Canis lupus familiaris: one gene and its partners. The protein of the gene in region 1 interacts with the protein of each later gene in a biochemical or structural test. Links are inferred from orthologs where the notes say so. Each region holds a gene or a part of one and is shown in the gene's direction. Other genes may lie near its edges. The genes, in order: JUP, CTNNA1 and CDH1.

What was found.
Region 2: the proteins of JUP (region 1) and CTNNA1 form a complex in vitro, tested with the Homo sapiens proteins (2 studies listed by BioGRID). The link is inferred for Canis lupus familiaris from reciprocal best matches to the Homo sapiens genes JUP and CTNNA1.
Region 3: the proteins of JUP (region 1) and CDH1 form a complex in vitro, tested with the Homo sapiens proteins (2 studies listed by BioGRID). The link is inferred for Canis lupus familiaris from reciprocal best matches to the Homo sapiens genes JUP and CDH1.

Annotation. Positions count from the first base shown.
Region 1 is NC_049230.1:20,917,911-20,923,145, forward strand, and holds part of JUP (junction plakoglobin), read left to right. Parts: intron 1-386; coding exon 387-646; intron 647-867; coding exon 868-1,106; intron 1,107-2,219; coding exon 2,220-2,421; intron 2,422-4,016; coding exon 4,017-4,161; intron 4,162-4,282; coding exon 4,283-4,386; intron 4,387-5,235. UniProt on the Homo sapiens protein: Common junctional plaque protein. The membrane-associated plaques are architectural elements in an important strategic position to influence the arrangement and function of both the cytoskeleton and the cells within the tissue.
Region 2 is NC_049232.1:26,503,999-26,509,233, forward strand, and holds part of CTNNA1 (catenin alpha-1), read left to right. Parts: intron 1-1,260; coding exon 1,261-1,371; intron 1,372-2,362; coding exon 2,363-2,544; intron 2,545-2,652; coding exon 2,653-2,758; intron 2,759-3,509; coding exon 3,510-3,644; intron 3,645-4,201; coding exon 4,202-4,489; 3' UTR 4,490-5,235. UniProt on the Homo sapiens protein: Associates with the cytoplasmic domain of a variety of cadherins. The association of catenins to cadherins produces a complex which is linked to the actin filament network, and which seems to be of primary importance for cadherins cell-adhesion properties.
Region 3 is NC_049226.1:81,340,657-81,345,638, reverse strand, and holds the end of CDH1 (cadherin-1 precursor), read left to right. Parts: intron 1-1,963; coding exon 1,964-2,173; 3' UTR 2,174-3,774; downstream 3,775-4,982.

The DNA of each region.
Region 1 (5,235 bases):
TTTAATTCACTGCTAAGCACTTTGTAAGTGGTCAAAAATTTTTAACTGTTCCCATGATAGTAATCTTCACTAACACTTTTGTAGTGATGTGTGTAGTACATCCTTTCTTTTCAGAGCAAATTACAACTATTATCTCATTTAATTCCCTATAAAAATTCCCTGTGACGGACAGAACAGGTGGTGCCCCATTTTACAGCTGACATGACGAGGTGGTGGTGACCTCCCCCGGTTAGAGGCAGAATCACAAGTGGTGCTGCTGGGGCTTTGGTCGGGGTGGGAGCCAGCCCAGAGAGCCCGGTCTACAAGGCCTGCCCTGCCCCCTGTGTCCCCCCCACCCCTGCCCATCCTGCCACTCAGTCCCTCCCCGTTGACACCCCCCCATCCAGGTGACCTGGAGTACCAAATGTCCACGACAGCCAGAGCCAAGCGGGTACGGGAGGCCATGTGTCCTGGCGTGACAGGCGAAGACAGCTCGCTGCTACTGGCCACCCAGGTGGAAGGGCAGACCACCAACCTGCAGCGGCTGGCCGAGCCGTCCCAGCTGCTCAAGTCAGCCATCGTACATCTCATCAACTACCAGGACGACGCCGAGCTGGCCACCCGGGCCCTGCCTGAACTCACCAAACTGCTCAACGACGAGGACCCGGTCCGTGGGGGGCCTGGCCAGGGTGGGGGCAGGGCAGAGAGGGGAGAGGTCAGGTGTCCGCAGGGGCCGGCCCTACGCAGGGCCCCATCAGCAGGGAGAGTCTGAGCTGGGTCCCTCTGAACTTTGTGGAGGGGGTCACTTGCCCTCCTCCCCCCATCTCACGGTGGCAGCCAGCCCGGCCCCTCTGCTCACTTTTTCCCATCCCTCCCCGTCCCCCTCAGGTGGTGGTGACCAAGGCAGCCATGATCGTGAACCAGCTGTCCAAGAAAGAGGCGTCACGGCGGGCGCTGATGGGCTCGCCCCAGCTGGTGGCAGCCGTGGTGCGTACTATGCAGAACACCAGTGACCTGGACACAGCCCGCTGCACCACCAGCATCCTGCACAACCTCTCCCACCACCGTGAGGGGCTGCTTGCCATCTTCAAGTCGGGCGGCATCCCTGCCCTGGTCCGCATGCTCAGGTACCCACCCCTACCCACTGGGGGATACCGGGGACTCCCTTCACTTGGGCCTACCCCCTCTCTTCCCTGGGCTTCCATACATCAGGTATTGAGGACCTACTGTGTGCCAGGTGCAGACCCATGCCCAGTCCTGGTGCTCAGCTACTCACAGCCTAGCAGGCGGAATAGGCATGTGACCGGCGTGTTAGTTACTAGGATACAGTATATGCTGGAGAGAGGTCTGCCCAGGATTGCTCAGAGCTCCGGGAAGCTGTGCACTCTAACAGCAGGATGATGAGTTGAGGGTTGATGGATGAGTGGGGTTTGGCCTGCGTAGATGAAGGGAAGAGTATCCCAGGCAGAGGGAACAGCAGAGATAGCCCCTTGCCCCCTGTATCTTTCCCAGCCTTGCAAGGTTCATTGGTCTTTCTCCTTCTATCCATGCCAGGCTGTGAGTTCCTTGAGGTGGGAGATACTCTGACCCCCTCACAGGACCTTTCTAGCACATGGCCTCCCATGTGGTAGTTCCTTAGTACCGACTATGCGCTCAGCCCTGGGCTAAAAGCCCAGAAGCAGGCGGAGTCATGGTCCTGGTGGGGAGAGGAGTGGTGTGTGCTGTGTGATCTGTGCCTAAGAGCGGGGCTGGGCTCAAGGGACGATGAGATTTTAGTATTTTTTTATTTTTTATTTTTTTTTAAATTTATGATAGTCACAGAGAGAGAGAGAGAGAGAGGCAGAGACATAGGCAGAGGGAGAAGCAGGCTCCATGCACCAGGAGCCCGATGTGGGATTCGATCCCGGGTCTCCAGGATCGCGCCCTGGGCTAAAGGCAGGCCCTAAACCACTGCGCCACCCAGGGATCCCATGAGATTTTAGTAAAGTGCTGTTCCCCCCCCCCCTTTTTTTTTTAAGATTTTATTTATTTATTCATGAGAGACACAGAGAGAGAGAGGCAGAGACACAGGCAGAGGGAGAAGCAGGCTCCATGCAGGGAGCCCGATGTGGGACTCGATCCCTAAAGTGCTGTTTCCATGGGGGTGTTGGTATGGGGAAGGCTTCCTGGGGGGAGGTAGCCCTCATTTATGCCAGACCTTTGGGGCCCGACTCACATCAAGCCACTGCCCACCATCCCAGCTCCCCGGTGGAGTCAGTCCTGTTTTACGCCATCACCACGCTGCACAACCTGCTGCTGTACCAGGAGGGCGCCAAGATGGCGGTGCGCCTGGCAGATGGGCTGCAGAAGATGGTGCCCCTGCTCAACAAAAACAACCCCAAGTTCCTGGCCATCACCACCGACTGCCTGCAGCTCCTGGCTTATGGCAACCAGGAGAGCAAGGTGAGCTGTGCTGCCGTGCACCCCCCCAACCACACCCCAAGGCCTTCCAGTGTATCTCCTTCTATCCAGCTGTAGCTTTGGACCACTGCCTCTTTACCCCTTTTGGTTTAAATATATGAGTATACATGGTTGTACATCTTTCATCATATAACTGAATATTCTGAGGTTGAGGAAAAGGAAAAAAGTCACTATCCTTATGCAACCACTGCTATCTCCGTGTGCTTCCTGTGGACCCGTCCTGTGGGCATGTCTGTACATGGTTGTAGTCATGGCAAATGTACAACTTTGGATCTGTTTTCTATGTATTTTTAATTTTTTTCCCATACCCTCAAAATCACCCTCTACAATGGCAGATAGCATTTCATTAAGTGGGGGCCCCAGACTTTATTCTTAGGGAGGGCATTTAGATTGCTCTCAATTGTCTACCTTTATAAACAATGCTGTCATGAGCATTTTTGGACACACAGCTTTTCCCAAAGAGTGGGAAATTTTTTCATCAGTGGGGCTAAGGGTTTTTAATATTTCTGGGCTTGTACCCAGATTGCCAAATGCTTTCCAAAAGGATCGTGTTACTTACAGTGTTGTTGGTGGTGTCTGTTAGTAGTTTCACCTCATCCTTGTCAGCATTGTTTATTATCCTTTTTTCTTTTATCTTTTAAAAAATTTTATTTATTTATCTGAGAGTGAGAGAGAGAGAACCAGCGAGATGAGGGGCAGAGGAAGAAGCAGACTCTCCATTAAGCAGGGACCCCAAGGTGGGGCTTGATCCCAGGACCCCAGGGTCATGACCCGAGCCGGAGACCGTGGCTTAACTGACTGAGCCACCCAGACATCCTTTTAAAAATTTTGGCTTTTGGGCAGCCCTGGTGGCGCGCAGCGGTTTAGCGCCGCCTGCAGCCCAGGGCGTGATCCTGGAGACCCTGGATCGAGTCCCACGTCAGGCTCTCAGTATGATGCCTGCTTCTCCCTCTGCCTGTGTCTCTGCCTCTCTCTCTCTCCCTCTCTGTCTCTATGAATAAATAAATAAAATCTTAAAAAAAAAATTTTGGCTTTTGGGGATCCCTGGGTGGCTCAGCGGTTTAGCACCTGCCTTTGGCCCAGGGCGCGATCCTGGAGACCCAGGATCGAGTTCCACATCGGGCTCCCGGTGCATGGAGCCTGCTTCTCCCTCCTCCTGTGTCTCTGCCTCTCTCTCTGTCTCTCTCTCTCTGTCTCTGTCTGTCATAAATAAATAAAATAAATAAATCTTAAAAAAAATGTTGGCTTTTTTTTTTTAAGATTTTATTTATTTATTCATGAGAGACAGAGAGAGACAGAGGCGGAGACACAGGCAGAGGGAGAAGCAGGCTCCATGCAGGGAGCCCGATGTGGGACTTGATCCTGGGTCTCCACGATCACACCCTGAGCTGAAGGGAGGTGCTTAACTGCTGAGCCACCCAGGTGTCCCAAAATTTTGGCTTTTTTAGTAGTCACAAAAGCTGTTCAGGTTTTAGCTGAAGTTTGGTAGCGACAGCTCTGTCACCTCCTCCCCTTTCCTTGTTCCTTGTCATATTTCCTGTCTATCTCACACTCATTCTCCACTGTCTCCCCCTCAGCTCATCATCTTGGCCAATGGAGGACCCCAGGCCCTTGTGCAGATCATGCGCAACTACAGCTATGAGAAGCTGCTCTGGACCACCAGCCGTGTGCTCAAGGTGCTGTCTGTGTGTCCCAGCAATAAGCCTGCCATCGTGGAGGCTGGTGAGGATGGCCTGCGAGGACAGCCCTTGTGCCCTGGAGGGGCGGGGTGGGGGTCTTGTCTGGCAGCTGGGCTTGGTGAGCCATGCTCCCCTGCCTTACACGCTCCCATCTCTCGCCCCAGGTGGGATGCAGGCCTTGGGCAAACACCTGACAAGCAACAGCCCCCGCCTTGTACAGAACTGTCTCTGGACCTTGCGCAACCTCTCGGATGTGGCCACCAAACAGGTGAGGGAGACCTTGGGGGCTGGGGTCCACCTCTTCAGCCACCTCATGCTCCCCTCTTGCCACAGGCAGTCTCCTGTCTGGGACTCTGACTTTAGGAGCCGTGGGAGGCCTGAGGCCTCTACATCTTGCCCCACTGTGACTAAGGCTGGAAATACCCTGAAATCCCTGAAATTCCTCATCCCTTTAGCTTAGGGCTCTAATGGCTGTTAAGGACTCAGGAAGGGGAACAGAGGAAGGGGCTGATATTCCTAAGCTGGGGTTCAGATGATACCAGGGGAGTAATTTTGACACAGACCCTGCAACAAGGAGCAGTAATGTACCAAGAGATGGCCTGAGGGCTCTGGTAGCTAAAAACACAGTTTAAGGAAAAATGGCAGTTTTAGGACAAGACTCCTGGTTCCACCTTCCCACCTGACTACCATTCCTAGGAGGCCCCTGCCCCCCATCAATAGGCTGTTTAATGGCCCCCGGCCACATGCTGGACTCTGCTTAGGCCCTGATGGATATTGGCTTGCTTTCCCCTTTCAACAACTAGAGATGGAAAGGGGAGCCAGTTGGTTGGGTGAAGAAACAGGGTCCCAGGGGGGTGACGTAATGGCCCTTGATCACAGCTAGTAAGTGGTAGAGGTGGGATTCAGGAGTGTCATTTCAGAGCCTGGGGTCTTTCTGTTCTACCACAAGGCCCATGTGGCTCCCCCTGGGAGAAGTGAGGCTTCTAGATCACTGATGTTTCCTGGAAGTGGATTTGGTCTGGGGACCACTGAGAGGGGCAGCATGAAGGCCCAGAACGATGATGAGAAGCCAGGGAAGAGCAGTCAGCTGGGCCACTGAAACAGGTGGCCTCCTTCA
Region 2 (5,235 bases), on another chromosome or scaffold:
TTCTCTGAAGAACAGAGGTGCTGGTGGTTCTAGTGAGCTGTGGTGTGGGCAACACAGGGCCCGACAGTGGAGTAGCGGTGCTGCACCTCCAGGGCCCAGTATGGTCCCTGGTACACAGATGCTCAGCAGAAAGGAAGGAACAGGAGGTACCTGGTCTCTTGGCAAGAATAGTTCTTGGGTCTCTGACGGGGCCAGCAGGGCTGGCACAAGAGCAGGTTCTCACAAGACAGCATGTCTCTGGGAAAGCCCCTCTGCAGGTATCTGTGACCAGGGATCTGGGATCCAAAGTGGCCAGCGGTGGGGTCGTGTGTGGCCGCCAAGTCAGAGAGACTCCGGGTCTTGCACTCATGTGTCCCCAGGGCTTGCTGGTGCCTGGCGTGACCCCCTGTCCTTACCTCACGTCACTGAGAGACAAGCTTAGTCTTGGGCAGCCCAGATGTTCCTCACACATCCTCTCACGGGAGCCCTGCAGCAAGCCCTGGGGCCCCGCCTTGGATTAGATCCTGGTACAGATAGGGGATGTGCCTCATTGCCCTTCTGTCACAGGCCGGTCCGCCAGGCCAGTAGCCAACCCCAGCTGTTCCGCCCACTGCCCATTACTAGTAACTTCCAGGAGACAACGTCAGGTTTCAAGTCAGCCACTAATCATGAGAGGCTGGAAGTTGTATGAAATAAGAATTTTTTTTTTTTTTGAAATAAGAATTTTTATTTCATAATTAAAGCTAGAGAGCTAGAACTGGAAACGGGACCTTGGAGACATACTCAGACCTTACCTGCCACGTTCTTTTCACATTGATAAAAGTAAAGCAGAAAAAAGTCCATGAAAATCCATTGCCTATTTCTTCTCTTCAAAGCATTGTCCTAAGGGAAAGCCTAATATTACTTCCTTCATTCATTTTCTTCTTGCCATCACATGGGAAGGTTCTAAGAATCTGCTTAATGTTGGATAAAATGTCTTTTCAATACAGTACGTTTCCCACCAGGATGAGCCTCACTTTTGTGTAGGGTGCAGGTGAGTCCTGACCCTCGTAGAAGCTGAAGCTCCTCGAGCCTCTGGGAAGTCCTGATGGGGGCCTAGCCTGGGACGCCTCACGTGTGTGTCAGTGAGGCGGGTCTCGAGTGAATCATGGCTGATGTTAACCTGATTGGCCCCAGCTGCTTGGAACATGGCTCATGTGAAGACCCAGAGTTCTGGGTGTTTGTACTTTGGACCCAAGGGCCTAGGGTGTTTCTGATTCGTGCTCTCCATATTGCTGGCAGACTCCCGAGGAACTGGATGACTCTGACTTTGAGACAGAAGACTTCGATGTCAGAAGTCGGACGAGTGTCCAGACAGAAGATGACCAGCTGATAGCTGGTCAGAGCGCCCGGGTAAGGAACATGTCCCTGTGCCTCCAGGAGCTTGGCTTTTTCTTTTCTGGGATCGATCACAGCGTTCCCACTTTGTCTCCCTGGCACCGGGATAGAGCTCACCCCAGGGGGTGGCACATGGCAGCCAGGAGCAGGGCGGGAGCAGGAGCAGGCCCTCGGCCTCAGCTGTGCCCTGGGGGCGTTGGCTGATGACAGGGCCCTGCGTCAGGAGAGCCCAGTGGCGGGTCAATGCCATGTTTGTTAAAAGGATTGTGACATTCAAAAAAGATGGCTATCTTTGCCCATCTCAGTGATAGCATGGTATGAGCTATTTAATTATTCATGGGTTAAAAAAAAATAACAGTGGTACATTCAAGAAAATCATTCAGAGCCATTGCATTCATTTGAGTCATTAAATCTTCAATCAATAGCATTTATGTTTTTGGGAGCATGCCAAGAAATATTTCCATGGAGCCTTTTCCAGTCCTCAGAAATCATTTTGAACAGCAAATGCAGCCTTGCTTTGGGCCCCTCTCCATCACGAGCACTTGGGGAAGCTGTGGCAGGGGGCTCACGGCCTGGAGTCTGTGGGCCTTGGGGTGGGCGCTGTGAGAGGGTTCAGAGGTGCCATGTCAGGGAGCTAAGGTGGGGCCCACCAGAGAGGGGCCCATGCACCACCCCTGGGATCGTGTCCTATCCCCCACAGCAGCAGGCAGACGAACTCACAGGGTATTAAGCGGCTTCCGTCCCTGTACAGGCCTGATCTGGAAGCCTCCATATTTGTTCTCTGTCCCTCGCACTGTGTTCTCCTCCACATGGAAACTTGTTTTTGAAAATGGGTTGGAAATTCAGGCTGCTGTGAACTTGTGCTCAAAGTGAGGAGAAATGGACCTTTAGGCAAAATGAAGCCCATTAAAGATCATCCCACCTCTGCCACAGGTTGCATCAGCTGATGTGCTGTGAGGGCTTCATACTCTCCTCACCTAAGAGCTCTTTGTGCTTCGGGTTTCAGGCGATCATGGCTCAGCTTCCCCAGGAGCAAAAAGCAAAGATTGCCGAACAGGTGGCCAGCTTCCAGGAAGAAAAAAGCAAGCTGGATGCTGAGGTGTCCAAGTGGGATGACAGCGGCAATGACATCATCGTGCTGGCCAAGCAGATGTGCATGATCATGATGGAAATGACGGACTTCACCCGGTGAGCTGCGCCGCCCCTGGGTGCCGGCCCACCCTGTGCTCCGCGGCCGGCCCCCTTCTTCCCCTTCACCGTCAGCCACACACAGTGATCTTTGCTCTCTTTTGTCAGAGGGAAAGGACCACTCAAGAACACGTCCGATGTGATCAGCGCCGCCAAGAAGATTGCGGAGGCAGGATCCAGGATGGACAAGCTCGGCCGGACCATCGCAGACCACGTGAGTGGGGGTCGCTGCAGGGCTGCCAGGTGCATCCCAAGGTGCTGACCGTCGTCCTGTTTTCCTTGGGGCATGGCGCTCCTCTCATCTCCAGACATGTGCTTGGCTTATCACCCTGCTGGGTTGGTACCCACATCGATGTGTGAGGATTTCTGAATTCCTCTTTGACAAGTCTTAGGAGCCCAGCCCAGCGTACGTTGAGAGCATGTCTATGGGGCAGGTGTGTGTATCCTGCCATCCTCCTGGGGGCTGCAGCATTGTTGTCTCCCTGTTTCCTGCACATCCTCACATACTGAACTAATCGGTCCCAAGGGGTAGAAGCCACTCTTGGCTCTGCTCTCTGCAGTCCAGGAGCAGGCACGTCTGCTGCCGTGTTTATCTTGACACCACCCAGTCTTCTCCCCGCTTCCATCACCAGCTCGGCCCAGCTCCCCACAGACCGTGCCTCGATAGCCACTCCTGTCCCCTGCTCCGTGCTGCCTCAGCTGCCAGCACGGTCTGGGTAGATGATCACCTAACACGTGGTCCCCCCAGGCCCGCAGCTCTTTCCTAGCCTCTGGACTCCAGGCCGCTCTCCCGGCCTCCTACACTCGGTGCATGAAGTGCCTCACAGGGCGGCAGTGGATACACTTGAGGGAGGTCACCCTGGAGTCCAGAGCACTTGTGCTTTGCTCCGGCAGGGAGAGCCCTGCCCAGGGTGGGGGAACCTTGGGCCTGGGGTGTGTGCTGATCCCTGCTGCTCTCCTGGCAGTGCCCGGACTCCGCCTGCAAGCAGGACCTGCTGGCCTATCTGCAGCGCATCGCACTCTACTGCCACCAGCTCAACATCTGCAGCAAGGTCAAGGCCGAGGTGCAGAACCTGGGTGGGGAGCTCGTCGTCTCTGGGGTAAGTTTGAGCCACGAGCATGGGTGCCTGGCGGGCGTGTGCTCGCATCTCTGCTGCGTAGACATCCTGCCTACCCTGATGTCAGGGACGTGTGCTGTGGAGAGACCCCAAGGGTCCTCTCGCTGGGAGGAAGTATTCTCATTTCTCTGTTGTCCTTCCCTCAAAGGGGACTTGAACCTGTTCAGAAATTACAAAGATAACATAGCTGGGCCCCCAGAGCACTCACGTGGTTCTGTTCTCTCACACTGGCTCTGGGTTCCACTGGGCCCTGCAGGGGTTTCCTTCCAAACAACTACTTTCTGTGTAGGATCCCCCTCGCCAATGCACCTCCGTCACTCAGAGACAGACCTTTCTCCAGGTTTTAAGAGCAAGTAGACTCTGGAGGGAGGGGAGGCAAGGTAATGGCGCCTTACGTTGCTTGGGTGCTGCACCCTCCTAAATATCTGGACCAGGTGTATCCCGTTTTCCCGGATAAGAACAGGGGCTGTGGGGAGAGCTGACCAGGACCGCGGCCACGGGCCCCGCGCCTTCCTCACTGCCCTGTCTGTCCCTCGCAGGTGGACAGTGCCATGTCCCTGATCCAGGCCGCCAAGAACCTGATGAATGCAGTGGTGCAGACCGTGAAGGCATCCTACGTGGCCTCTACCAAATACCAGAAATCTCAGGGCATGGCTTCCCTCAACCTACCGGCTGTGTCCTGGAAGATGAAGGCCCCCGAGAAGAAGCCCTTGGTGAAGAGGGAGAAGCAGGATGAGACACAGACCAAGATCAAACGGGCGTCACAGAAGAAGCATGTGAACCCGGTGCAGGCCCTGAGCGAGTTCAAAGCCATGGACAGCATCTAGGGCCACCGCGCCCGCCCGCCGCCTCCACCCCAGGGCTCCTGAGATCAGGCCCTGCTCCTCACTGATGTATCTGCTCAACACAACACCGTGTTAGATTCCATGGGGACATGGACAGATTTTAAACCTGGCCCGGTGGGGCATTTGGCCAGGATATACTTGTGTTTAAATTAGTCAAAAATACTTTTGGAATTCAGGAGCACATTTCTAACTATATTTTTTTTAAGCTTAAGTAAAAATTAAAGAAAAATTCCATAACCAAAGAGAAACCCACATTACCTGGTAGGGGACACTCTTGACCAAGGTCTCAGTGTGCACGATGGGTGGGGGGCCACTGGGGCCAGGTGACTGCAGGAGTTCCAAGGGGAGCCAGCCGGGTGCCTTAGAAGGAAGGGCTTGGAGGGACAGACCACATGGAGCTCAGTAAGACGTGACGCATCACCAGGAAAACTGATTACTCTCCTTATGACCCTAATAAAGTTGCTTTTTTCAGACTAGAATGTTGTGATGCCCTGATCGTAACATGCTTCTTCCCTTTCCTCAGCTTCAAATGTAAATTCATCACTGGGCTCACTTCTAATAATCGCAGTGTTTCCTGCCTCGGGCTTCGCAACACCAGCCTCACAAAATAGTGTTTGCTTAGGCGGTAACTTAGACTTTACCTGATTTTTGATTACGACAGCGATGGCTATAGCTATAAGGTATAATTTTACTGTCTTATTTAAATTTTATGAATTTGAATGTTTTTT
Region 3 (4,982 bases), on another chromosome or scaffold:
ATCCATATGGCAAAACCAAGAATTGCTTGTAAGGATTTAGTAGAACTAGAAATGAAACTAAAGAGATTCAAAGTAGATCCAATTTGTTTTCACTAATGAGTCTTCTTGCCCCTGCATCCCACTGCTGGTTGGGAAGTGATAGTAAGTGTGTATCACAGGTCTACCTAAGGCCCAGGAAAATGGCATCAATTTGTAGATGTCAGAAATACATTCAGCTATAAACTCTCAAAGCTTTTAAACAGATAGGAGTAGATTAACCCCATGAATCCTTGTTCCCATGCTTGTTGCCACATAATCACAAGATGCCTGCTACACTTTCAGGCTTTGGGTCTGTATTCTAGTCAAGAAGGAGTAGGAAGGGCGGAGCAGAGGCCAAAGAATCTTTGTTCTAAAAAAAAAGAAGAAGAAGAAGAAGAAGAATCTTTGTTCTAGCAAAGTGTTAATGCAAGTAGGGAATTCATCCCATATGTTACTGGCCAGAACTGTCACAAGATTGTCCTTATCTGCAAGGGAGAATGAGAAATAAGGCATTAAGTTAATTAGCTTAGGGTAAGATGAGGACAAATTAGGGGTCAAGATGAGCAAAGAACCAAGTAAGATAATAGTCCAGCAGGATCTATTTCCTTAAACAATGTTCCCTGATCACTTGCACAGTTACTGAATGATTTTTAGGCCTTGTCTGGATGGTCCAGTGGCTCTCAGTGAGTCTTCCTGGTAGAGGCTGGTTTTGCTTTAGTTTCCTATGGTAGTTGTCACCAGGGACTACACAAAGCACACCAGTGTTGGAAGTGACCAGGCCACATTGATTTTAGCCACTGGATCTTCTAGAAAGCTGGGATTAGAAAGGTCCAGTTAAAACCTTCCTCTTAGGGGATCCCTGGGTGGCGCAGCGGTTTGGCGCCTGCCTTTGGCCCAGGGCGCGATCCTGGAGACCCGGGATCGAGTCCCACGTTGGGCTCCCAGTGCATGGAGCCTGCTTCTCCCTCTGCCTGTGTCTCTGCCTGTGTGTGTGTGTGTGTGTGTGTGTGTGTGTGTGTGTGTGTGACTATCATAAATAGATAGATAGATAGATAGATAGATAGATAGATAGATAGATAGATAGATTTAAAAAAAAAGAACTTCCTCTTAGGGGATCCTTGGGTGGCTCAGCAGTTTAGCGCCTGCCTTCAGCCCAGGGTGTGGTCCTGGAGTCTCGGGATCAAGTCCCACATCGGACTCCCTGCGTGGAGCCTGCTTCTCCTTCTGTCTGTGTCTCTGCCTCCCTCTCTCTCTCTGTCTCTCATGAATACATAAATAAAATCTTTTAAAAAAACAAAACAAAGCAAAAAACCTCCCTCTTAGGTAAATCTGAATTCAGGTCCTTTCCTCCATTCACATTCATTTGTGTATCGTCACATCTGATAGTAGCTTTTTTTTTTTTTTAACTTATAATATTAATGTCATTACATTACTTACAAAATAATGTTATAATAATTTTATTATGAATAAATATATAATAAATTTGTAAAATGTACATAAAGAAAAAAAATGCAATCCTTCCTTACTGCCTCCAACTCTATTCTCTAGAGTTAACCATTAACAGTTTGGCATTCATCTTTCCAGACCTTTCCAGGTGGCGATGCTGTATGGACCAGTATGACTATCCTCATTGTTTTCAGCCTCTGTCAATCCCGACTGGCTTGTTTCTCTCCTGCCTACATATAATTTATCATTAGTTTAGGGGAAACATTCTGCGTATTTACCCATAATGTTTTCTTTTCATCAAACAACATATTGTTTATCCTCCTTGCCAGTTTGTATAAATTTACCTTATTGGTGCGGATTGCTCCCTGTGTTCTCTAGGATGGTTGTTGCGTTATTGTGCATTACATGCTGCTGCTTGAGGCACCTAGAGAAGGCATCTTGCCTGACAGGTGTGTGATTCCTTTCATTAAAGGATCCTACTATCTTCTTTCTTCTTTAGAACCTGAAGGCAGCGGACACTGACCCTACTGCTCCTCCTTATGACTCTCTGCTCGTGTTTGACTATGAAGGAAGCGGTTCTGAAGCTGCTAGTCTGAGCTCCTTGAACTCCTCAGAGTCAGACCAAGACCAGGACTATGACTACCTGAATGAATGGGGCAATCGCTTCAAGAAGCTGGCGGACATGTATGGAGGTGGCGAGGACGACTAGGGGACTTGAGACAAATGAAGATGAGTCCTTATACCATGTGGTAGAAAATGCGGAGGTGACTGTTTTCAGCTCCCTTCATCTGAGAGGAATTTCTGGAGAAGAGAAAATGCACAGTGATATATAGTTAGGATAGTTAGGATTTCTACTTTATAGATCTAATCTGTGTGTTTGTTAGAACGATTTTGACCTATTCTTTGAAGCTTTTTTTTCTTTCTTTCATCATTCTTTAAATGGTGATGCTGTCCAAAAGACCCCCCACATGTTTATATTTCAAAAGAATAGCTAAAGCCTCCAGAAGGTTCTGCTAGCAATTTGCAGATTGCCTTATTGACTTGTCTCATTTTTTTAAAGGAAGGTAGGGCTAAACTACCCTATTGTGTTTGTGTGTGTGTGTGTGTATGTGTAATTATTTTTAATTTGTGTTCTTTTTTCTCCTATCACTGCACTGGTGTCCCGTGTTCTAATAACCACTCTTAACTCCTTCTGAACTTACATTGCCTCAGACAGGAGTTCTCTGCTGCAGAAATTATTGGGCCCTTTCAGGATAAGAGACTTGGTCTTAGTTTGATGGTAGTGTGACTGGGTATTATGGACTCGTAAGGACTTTAGTGGTTCTCCTTTTTTATTTCCTAAGTACATAAATTGAAATTCATATCCATCCACTGACTTGTTCTGCATTAAGTGTGTTTGTCATGTGGACGTCATTATTGGGCTACTTTGGTTCTGAACAAGGAGCATTGACCAGAAAAGGTGGTGAATTTTCAGGTGCCACTCAACTTCTAATGTTCACTTATCACTCAAACAGAAGAGTGATCTATTCTGACGTTTAGCGTAGTGCCTGCAGTGCTGCAGCCAAAGATTGAAGGCGGATTGTCAAAGCCAAGGGCAACATGAAAAATGGACTTGGAGGTGGCAGGCGGGATGGGTCATTGAGCCTGGCGTTTTAGCAAACTGATGCTGAGGATAACTGAGGTGGCTCTACCTCTAGTCCTGAAAATTCTGAAGAATGGAAGAATCCCGACAAGTGTGTCCTATCGCGATCCTTAGGTCACAGTTTGTACCTGAGGCCAAGAATCCCCAGGTGCCTGCTTTTGTTAATGTCTACCGAAAATGCAGCCTGATCTGGACTCAGGTGCCCCAATTCTAAGTGTGCATAGAAAACTGACAATATTAGGAAATTCTTTTTCCCCCCTTAGGAGCAGGAAGAAAATATGACCCTAAAGGGTTTTGGCAAAGGGAAGGTGGGGAGAGCTTTGACTTGGATTTTTTTTAAATTGAAATGTGAACTTCAAGGAACTTTTGACAACCATGGGAAATAATTTTATCTTAAATTGCTTTACTGTCTGTCAGCTGTTTTTCAAAGAAAAAAAAAATCATCCCTGCAATCACTTCTTGGAATTGTCTTGATTTTTCAGCAATTTAAACTCTAATTTAGTCCTGTATAGAGAATGTTAATGTAGTTTTGAGTGTATATGTGTGTGGGTACGGATAATTTTGTATTTTCTTTAGGTCTGGAAAAGGAAAACAATTTAAGCTGCGAAAATTCTTAAATATTCATTTTTATAAATTTTATTAAAGAATTTTGTTAAACCATTGTCAAACACTTGTTTTATATGATTATACTACAATTCTAGGCAAGACCAGTGATAGTTGAGCTCATTCAAAACATGGGGAAGGAAACTTCATATTGAAATGACTCCTCCAGAACTTTGTGTCCTTTTATTGTGGGCAGAATGCAGGAAACTGCATTTAAAAGGTCACTTTATTTGAAAAATAACTATCCATGTGGTATATGGAGAAACCATTAAAATTCTCTTATTATTGGAAAAATTGTGGGTGACACTGAGGGACCAAAAAAAGTTGAGCTTCAGACAGTATTCAGTGGGTCAGCCAAATTGGTGTAGTTCAGGGGTCCACCGTCAAAAATGACCCTAGCCTCTCCCCAGGGGACATTGGGCAATTTCTGGAGATACTTTGATTGTTGCGACTGAGGAGGTGCTACTGGCATCAAGTCCAGGCCAGGGATGCTGCTAAACATCCGACAACAAAGGACCACCACGCTCAAGATGTCAGTAGTGCTGCTAAGAAAACCTGTTCTGTGACTTGACTTTGTTGGAGGGGTATAATATTGTTTGTGTGTGTGTGTGTGTGTGTGTGTGTGTGTGTGTGTGTGTAATTTTTAAATGGGGGTGAAATATATATATATAGATCTTACTTGACTTACAATGTGGTTATATCCCAATAAACCATCATAAGTTAAGAATATTTCAAGGGCAGCCCAGGTGGCTCAGCGGTTTAGTGCCTGCCTTTGGGATCGAGTCCCACATCAGGCTCCCTGCATGGAGCCTGCTTCTCCCTCTGCCTGTGTCTCTGCCTCTCTCTCTCTCTCTCTCTCTCTCTCTCATATAAATAAATAAAATATTAAAAAAAGAATATTTCAAAAATGCATTTAATATGCCTAATCCACCAGACATGATAACCTAATCCACTTTTTTTTTTTTTTTTAAGATTTTATTTGAGAGAGAAAGCACAAGTTGTGGGGAGGGGCAGGTAGAGAGGGGAAGGATGTGGGGCTTGATTTTGGGATCATGACCTGAGCCACCCAGGCACCCCTAGCCTAATCCACTTTCAATGTGCTCAGAACAATTACCTACAGTTGAGTGAAAGCATCTCACACAAAACCTGTTTTGTAATAGTGTTGAATAGCTCCGACAGTGAGAAACAGAATGGTTGTAAGTGTATCAATTGTTTACCTTCCAGATCACAGGACTGACAAGCTGTGGCTGCCACTGCCCAGCATCATGAGGGA